Linked DNA regions of Xenopus tropicalis. The protein of the gene in region 1 purifies or fractionates together with the protein of each later gene. This does not show direct contact. Links are inferred from orthologs where the notes say so. Each region holds a gene or a part of one and is shown in the gene's direction. Other genes may lie near its edges.

Evidence for each region.
Region 2: the proteins of gpn2 (region 1) and polr2j purify together in Homo sapiens (affinity purification with mass spectrometry; 3 studies listed by BioGRID and IntAct, counting the BioPlex papers as one, with this or other methods). This does not show direct contact. The link is inferred for Xenopus tropicalis from reciprocal best matches to the Homo sapiens genes GPN2 and POLR2J.

What each region holds. Positions count from the first base shown.
Region 1 is NC_030678.2:77,754,733-77,759,225, reverse strand, and holds gpn2 (GPN-loop GTPase 2), read left to right. Parts: upstream 1-1,425; 5' UTR 1,426-1,445; coding exon 1,446-1,883; intron 1,884-2,538; coding exon 2,539-2,695; intron 2,696-2,838; coding exon 2,839-2,999; intron 3,000-3,187; coding exon 3,188-3,343; 3' UTR 3,344-3,964; coding exon of another isoform or gene 3,965-4,037; 3' UTR 4,038-4,163; downstream 4,164-4,493. UniProt on the Homo sapiens protein: Small GTPase required for proper localization of RNA polymerase II and III (RNAPII and RNAPIII). May act at an RNAP assembly step prior to nuclear import.
Region 2 is NC_030678.2:94,652,513-94,656,875, reverse strand, and holds the start of polr2j (DNA-directed RNA polymerase II subunit RPB11-a), read left to right. Parts: upstream 1-1,507; 5' UTR 1,508-1,533; coding exon 1,534-1,586; intron 1,587-3,412; coding exon 3,413-3,502; intron 3,503-4,363. Other genes in the region: txlng (gamma-taxilin), read right to left, coding at 1,007-1,075. UniProt on the Homo sapiens protein: Core component of RNA polymerase II (Pol II), a DNA-dependent RNA polymerase which synthesizes mRNA precursors and many functional non-coding RNAs using the four ribonucleoside triphosphates as substrates.

The sequences.
Region 1 (4,493 bases):
GTGTATAAATTCGGATCAGATGAAAGCGCTCACAGTCCATTATAACTGACTTCAGATCGTAATTGTTCACACCATAAAATGCCAACATGGTACACGTTCGATCCATTGTCAATACACAAGAGACTCCTGTCTCTCCTTCTCTGACCATATTAACACCACTATCAAAACCTGTCACTTTTTCCTGCGCAATATTGCCAAAATCCGTCCCTTTCTTTCTACTGCAACAGCTAAGCTGCTCATGCATGCTCTCATCCTGTCACGACTGGACTACTGCAACCTGCTATTAACCAGCCTCCCTAACTCCCATCTTTCCCCCCTACAGTCTATATTAAATTCTGCTGCCAGAATTCTCCTCCTCTCATCCAGGAGAGTTCAGGCCCTTCCCCTGCTAAAGGCCTTATCGTGACTTCCTATTAAACAAAGAATATCGTGCAACCTTCAAAGCCCTCCATTCCTCTGCTCCTCACTACATCTCTTCCCTTGTGTCTCTGTACGTTCCTGGTCGACTCCTTCGTTCCACGCAGAGCAATCGTTTGGTTGCGCCCCCCACTACAAGTGCGGTTTCCCGCCTTAAACCTTTCTGCCTTGCTGCCCCTTACATTTGGAATGCCCTCCCTGATTTCCTCCGGAGAGAATCCTCCCTCAGTATTTTTAAAACCAAACTAAACGACTACCTTTTGGAGCACTCGCACAGCCCCTGCGAACTAGCACTTATATTGTAGTGTCACCCACTGTGACCTACAGCACTTATATTTGCCTATTTGTGTCTGTAAGTTACCCTCCCATATAGATTGTAAGCTCTACGGGGCAGGGACCTCCATACTCTTGTGTCTTTGACTCTTAACTTATTGCAACTGTATCTTGTATTTATTTGTGCTTATTATAAAACTTTGTATTTATCTATTTTAATACCCGTTTATATTTATGTATTCTACTGTACAGCACTGCGTACATAAGTAGCGCTTTATTAATAAAGTTATACATACATACATACACTGGGGTTGAACTTGATGGATGTTGCTCTGTATGTAATTAAGCAGCATCACAAAATGTCCAGGGACACTATTTGTTTGCACTTCTGTCGTACTACAAATGCACTAACTTAATGCTTGGTGTTAAGATTTATAATAGGAATATTACCCTTCTATGACATTTTAAGAACATTTTCCATAAAGAGTGAGGACAGAGACAAACCGCTGATTTTTACCCAAAAGCTCATGTAAATGCTTTTATAGTGTTAGTTTTATATTTAGCGACATTTCTAGGGACAAAATAAGGCGACTATAAGCTATCCCTGGAAATTGTCGCCAGCTACGAACCCTCTTTCTCTCAAGCTTGTAGCCCTATGAAACGACAGGTCAGTGAGAGCCGACTGAACGTAATGTACGCCTGTGTGGACGTATTACGCACGCACGCACGCACGCACCGGTCACGTGACAGCTGCAATGGCCGACACAGACTGTAAGTGGGATCCTGGAGCAGATAAGTATCCGCTGCTTGGATTCGGACAGGCGGTTATTGGACCCCCGGGCTCAGGAAAGAGCACGTATGTGCGAGCAATGCAGGCTTTGCTTGCTCAGATGGGCCGCAAATCCGCCATCATTAACCTGGACCCAGCGGGAGAGGACGAACCCGGGGCAGCAGTGAGTCTGCGGGAACTGCTTGGACTTGAAGAAGTGATGTCGGAGTTGCGGCTGGGACCAAACGGGGCTTTGCTGTACTGCATGGAGTATCTGCAGGAGAACTTGGACTGGTTGCGGGGCAGGCTGCAGGGCCTGCGGGGGACATACTTCCTGCTGGACTGCCCAGGGCAAGTAGAGCTCTACACACATCACCCGGCCCTGCCCGACGTTCTGCGGCGCCTGGGTGCCTGGGGGCTTCGGGTGAGAGGCTGGTGCATTTGGGATTAAAAGTCTAAGGGTGACATATATTGGACATAAAGCGTAAAAGTTATTTAACTGATGGCCAACCTCTCTGTGCTTTTAGTGAGCCACAAGAACTGCCTGCCAGCTGTAAGCTTGCAGGGAATGCTAGGAGCTGTAGCACTGTAGTTATCTATATTGGATGTATTTGGCCAATGGTACTGTCTTGGATATTCAAGGCTGCTGAACATCTTTATTGCACAACAGCTCTTTGAACCAGCACTTTTGGGTGTACCCTTTGTGGCATTTCTTTAATATGTAATTGCTTTGGTAATGTAACATTGTGTCGGCTAGAAAAATTAGTTTTAGCATGAAGATGGGCCTAGCATCTTACAGGCTCATGTTCTTGCTCTGTTCAGATAAGTGTGTATTTATTAGCTGTGAGAAAGTTAAATTAGTCTTATGCGTCCATGTTTCTTCTTGTTGGTGTCTTGTATGCTTGCTGAAGGAAGGTGGGCCATTTGTCTTAGTTGCCCTATTACATTTTTGTGCATCAGTGATAAAGGAGACTGCATTGGTTGATGTCATTGTCACTTTTTATGCTATTGTTATTTATAAAGTGCTTACAGCAAAGCAGCCTTGTAATGTTTTTTTTTTTTTGTGTGTCTCCTTCTAGTTATGTGCTGTTCACCTAGTGGACTCCCATTACTGCACAGATCCAGCGAAGTTCATCTCTGTTTTATGTACTTCACTTAGCACTATGCTTCATGTGGAGCTGCCACACATCAATGTCCTGTCCAAGATGGATCTCATTGAACAATATGGCCGCCTGGGTAAGAATGTGTGAAACCGTAAAGACAGTCAACTAAAATATAGTGCTTACAGAAACTGATTAAAATTAACTAGAACAATTTGTTTGTTACTAGTTGGTATTTGCAAATGGCAGTGCTGCTGACATACCTGCTCCCATCCACAGCCTTTAACCTGGACTACTACACTGAGGTCATGGACCTTTCTTATTTGGTTGAACAACTGACATCTGACCCCTTTTTCCGCCGCCACAAACGTCTCCATGAGAAGTTGGCAGAGGTTATCCAGGATTATGGATTGGTGACCTTCATGCCACTGAGTATTAAGGTAATCAATCTTTGATGATGCTTAGTACCGATAAGAGGGAGAGAAAATGTACCAGTAACTAAAAAGTTCTTTAAATTTGTAAAGTAATGCCATGCAAGGTTTAGTTAGCTATTTCTATAGGCCAACTGGGGTAATATATACACAAACAATATATGTACATTGCACTGAAATCTTTCATTTTCTCCTAGGATGAGAAGAGCTTGCGGTTAGTTCTCAGTGCTGTGGATAAAGCCAGTGGATTCTGCTTTGGGGAGACAAAGCAATCACTTGGGAATCTTATGTCTGTGGCAGTGGGGGCAGATTTCCAATTCACATCGTATCCTTCACATGATTGTAGGGGTTAGTAGTAGGACTGGCGAACATTCTTCAGTGCACAGATTGAGGGGGCACAGTTAGGTATCATAATGCACTGTTGTTTTTCCTGTGTACCCCTAAATGCATAACAGTCCACTATCTCTCCCTGTGTTCTTCTCTCCATAGCTGCTGTATAAGGAGGGGTAAGGAGGGTGGGTAAGGAATGAGTTTATGATGTTTACTTTAAAATGTAAAAAACAAAGTCACATTGAGATCTGTTGAGTGTAGGCTCAACTGAACGATGGGTTTGTTTCATTGTTTCCCCAAAAAACTGTCACCTTATTTGAAGTATATGTCACACAGCAGAATGTTTTCCCAATGCTCCTATTGCCTGTAATTTAATTTATGTGATTTCTGTTGGCTGTTTTAACTTTATTCCAACTAAGCCCCATTAGCCATTTGCTACAATTTTTTTTTTTCGAGGTATACTGAAATATATGCCTTCAAATTTACATACATAATTAAATTAGACAAACTGCTCAAGTTATATGTCTCCTTTAATTGTAGAGACAAGCATTAAGTGGTAAAATAAATGGTGGGGGAAATTCTCTGCTTACATATCAGTTTCACTTCATTCTACCAAGGTTTCTCCTTAACCAATGCTATCCCAGGACACTGGCATTCCAGGAGAAATATGTGGAGAAGGATAAACGCACCGTGGAGGAAGAAGCTTTAGACCTATGAACAATTCACCTTTCCAGAAAAGGCGCTGCTTCTGTATTCCATTTTCTTGAGTCTAGTGCTACAGCATTTTTGGGTTATATTTGAAGGGGTTTGCTAAATTATGTTTTTTTCTAATAAAAATGTAAATAGACATGTCTCTAAACAGCTTTTTGACTACTATAAAGTTTGGTAGAATGCAGCTCATAAGTATTCAAATGCTGCAAGCTTTTGTGGGATGATGGGAGTTGTATTTTTTAACAGCTCTAATACAAGTTTTTCACCCTACTCTAGATCCTTGGTGCATGAGTGTGTGTTCACCAGATCTTTGGCCTGTGATTCATCATCTCAGTGATTTGGTTGGATAATAGTGCAGCCCTCCTGCCTGCAGAATGGCCAGAGTTGTACTCTAAAGTAAAGCAAATTACTGTCCAACAAGAGTCTCCAGTTTGGGTAGACTCTAAGGCTGATGCATATTAC
Region 2 (4,363 bases), about 17 Mb from region 1:
TGGGGCTAGGGAATACACTGGTACATGGGATGGGGTAGGGAATACACTGGTACATGGGATGGGGTTAGGGAATACACTGGTACATGGGATGGGGTTAGGGAATACACTGGTACATGGGATGGGGTTAGGGAATACACTGGTACATGGGATGGGGTTAGGGAATACACTGGTACATGGGATGGGGTTAGGGAATACACTGGTACAGGATGGGTAGGGAACACTGGTACATGGGATGGGGTTAGGGAATACACTGGTACATGGGATGGGGCTAGGGAATACACTGGTACATGGGATGGGGCTAGGGAATACACTGGTACATGGGATGGGGTTAGGGAATACACTGGTACATGGGATGGGGCTAGGGAATACACTGGTACATGGGATGGGGCTAGGGAATACACTGGTACATGGGATGAGGCTAGGGAATACACTGGTACATGGGATGAGGCTAGGGAATACACTGGTACACGGGATGAGGCTAGGGAATACACTGGTACACGGGATGAGGCTAGGGAATACACTGGTACACGGGATGAGGCTAGGGAATACACTGGTACACGGGATGAGGCTAGGGAATACACTGGTACATGGGATGAGGCTAGGGAATACACTGGTACATGGGATGAGGCTAGGGAATACACTGGTACATGGGATGGGGCTAGGGAATACACTGGTACGTCATTACTGCAACACGTGCACCATTCCAGCTGATTAATCCCGGCTCAGAGTTCCCCATGAACAAGCTGTTGGAGTACACACACCTGAGCTAGGACACCTTGTACTCCAGTTACAGCTAAACTCCTTCCCAGGAACACAACCGTAGCCCAAAAGAGGCGAACAGAAGCTATTCTCTATTAAACACATGGATACTGTACTGTATCACCCCAATCGCTCCTACTCAATGTGGACTGACAGGTGGTATGGACATCGTGTGCTCACAAAGTCTGTCAGACGCGGGACTGTCGCACGTAAGACAGTAAAGCACCATGACTTCCTTGGCCATTACCTGCTCGAATTTTTCTAGCCTACCCGCGTCCTCCGATACAGCGCAACCCTTCTCAACCAGAGTCGACATACTGTGACGCACTCCTGTAAGTGCCGCGCTCTGACAAACACCAGCGACCCCAGGGCTACTTTAGCACACTGAAGCCTTCACACCAATCAGAGACGCCGCCGGCGTCCATGTGACGGGAGGTTGAGGAAGCAGCCCAGCTGCCATTTTTGACACTGGCGGAGTATTAATATTATTCATTGCGCTCAAAACTGCTTATGATTTGTATATGTTGGACCCATATTACACATAAGTAACTAGACGATGTAAATTTATTTTCCCTTTGAAAGTAGTGAAAGAGCCCACGTAGAACCTGGCCACCGCGGACTAGAATTTGTATTTCAGCATGCAATGTAAACGCAGAGTACCTTCAACATGGGAAGTGACGCCATTTGCTATTGTCGTGACGTCATCAGAACGGGCGAAAAGACAGTGAGAGTGCTGAGTGCAGCCGGGAAGCTGAAAGGACTCCCTCTCGCATCATGAACGCGCCACCAGCGTTTGAGTCTTTTCTACTGTTCGAGGGTGAAAAAAAGTAAGTATTTCATTCAGGCATATTGGCCTTTATACAGCCAATTAAAGAAACACCAAAACCAGCACAATATGACATAGCCATAGATGAAAGACTGCTGCACAAGTGTCACATTAACCCAGGACAGGCTCCCTGCTGGAAATTACAGTCAAGCTGCTATCATAGCCAAGGTGAAATGACAGTGAAATCCAGTGGATCGGTTTTACACAAACTGGCCCTGCTGTTGGCAATTAAAAATAAATTAACAGTAAATGAATTAATCTTTAGTATGTTATTAATGTACCTATTCCATGCAACTTTTCTCAAGGTGCCCACTTGTTGTTGTTTACTTTAAAGTATTAGCATTTTCATTCTGCCACTTTCCAGCTTGCAATTGAAAATGCTGTCTGGTTGTCTGGGCAACTTTAAAACATAATACCATCAGTTTTATTGTTATTTTAGATTTTATTCCATTTCAGACTATAAACCTGTGTATAAGAGGAATTGCATAACTCACTAAATCCTTTCTGTCTATTAGAGATTAGGTCCCGGTTATTACTGCAGACAAGGTTTGGCTTCAAATATTAGACTAGTTGAGATAACAATTAACCCCATATCATTATTATTATTATCATATATTATTTTCCATTCTTTAAATATCTGACCTTATTTATGGGTAACTGATGGATAGGAGTTGCTGATATGAGTATGGGGAAGATCAGTAGGGCACAAGTCTCCCAATAGGCTTCTCTGTTTCACATGCCACCTATCCATGGCCTTGGATGATGGCACTTTAGGTTTTATGGTGTCCACAGATAAAGCCTTTGGGTAGTGGGTTTCCAGGTTGGGTTTGTATCTTTTCAGTTAGGCCCACTCAGGTCTTAACTTGGAGGTGTAATTTTCTTGTTTTCCCCTCTTTATTTCATACAAGGTTACAGATATTTTATATATTAGTGACTCTGCCATAGTTCTATGCATATGGACTGGACATATCAACATTGGTGCTTTAATGTTACCCAAAGTTTGACACATCGCGGTGGAGCTGTACTTCTATGTCAAGTCTTATTTCTAAAGGTGGCCATACACGGGCCGACTATAGCTGCCGATATCGGTCCCTTGGACCGATTCGGCAGCTAATCGGCCCGTGTATGGGGAGAGCAGATCGGCCTGGCCGACCGATATCTGGCCTGAAATTGGCCAGATCTCGATCGGCCAGGTTAGAAAATCTGGTCGGATCGGGGACCGCATCGGCTCGTTGATGCGGTCCCCGATCCGACTGCCCCATTGCCTCCCACATAATCCGATCGTCTGGCCCCAGGGCCAAACGATCGGATTATTATTTTTTTTACCTAAATGGTCCCCAACGAGCCGATGCGGTCCCCGATCCGACCAGATTTTCTAACCTGGCCGATCGAGATCTGGCCAATTTCAGGCCAGATATCGGTCGGCCAGGCCGATCTGCTCTCCCCATACACGGGCCGATTAGCTGCCGAATCGGTCCAAGGGACCGATATCGGCAGCTATAGTCGGCCCGTGTATGGCCACCTTAACACACATAAGTGAATGGTTTAGGAAGGGAGGCTGATAAGTCATTGCACAGGAGCATATAATGGCCCACTCTACCGGTACCAATACACCAGGGAAGTGACAGGTGCTGCTCCTTCTTGACACTTCTTTTTATGTTGATTGCCAAATCAGACCATTTGCTCGACAGGTCAGTTCAACTTATAACCAAGTTGTCATTCAATGTATAGCTGCTTGTATTCTTTCTTTCTTACTGTTTTTATATGATCACATGTGATGATGATGTAGCTTGAATGCCTATATAACTAATAATCATTAATGTTTAGGATAACAATCACTAAGGATACCAAGGTACCTAATGCTTGTTTGTTTACAATCAACAAGGAAGATCATACAATTGGAAATATCATTAAGTCGTAAGTATTTATTTTTTTAACTTTATTTTAATTAAGGCAGAGTAGCACTATCAAACCAGCTGTTACAAATATCTCTAGTTACGGGGGGGGGGGGGGGGAGTTAAAAATGTCACACTTAGTGCTGTGGCACACGGGAAGATTAGTCACCCGCGACAAATCTCCCTTGTTGCGGGCTACTATTCTCCCCAATATGTAAATCGCCGGTGGGATGACATATGCAAAAATGAAAACTGCCAAAATAGATAGCAAAATAAAAAATATTTTCAATGTAGTTAATTAGGCAAAAATGTAATCTAGGGCTGGAGTGGGCAGATGTTTAACATAATGGCCAGAACTCTACTTCCTGCTTTACAGCTCTCTAAGCTTTTAGCTGTCAGTAGTCAATCAGTAAACAAAGGGAGCTTCTATGGCCATTCTGCTGAAAAATATAGCGTTCTACCTTTAAGATAAACATCTTTCATTCTGGGGATTTCCTTGTCCCTTAATATGATAAAGGGATAGTTTACCTTTACTTTTAATGTTAGTATGATGTAGACATTGACAATTTGCAATTGGTCTTTATTATCTATTTTTTATGTTTTTTGAGTTATTTATCTTTTTGTTCAGCAGCTCTCCAGTTTGGTATTTCTGCAGCTAATTGGTTGCTAGGGTCTTATCTACCATAGCAACCAGGCATTGGATTGAACAAAAGACCACAATGCGTGCATAGAAATATAAGTAATAGAAAGTAGCAATAATTTTAAAAATTGTAGCCTCAAAGAGAAGTAGTTTTTAACTGCCGGGGTAATTTTAAAGTTGCAAAAAGACAGAAGAGGAAGGCAATTAAAAATATAAAAAAATAAATAATGGAAACCAATTGTA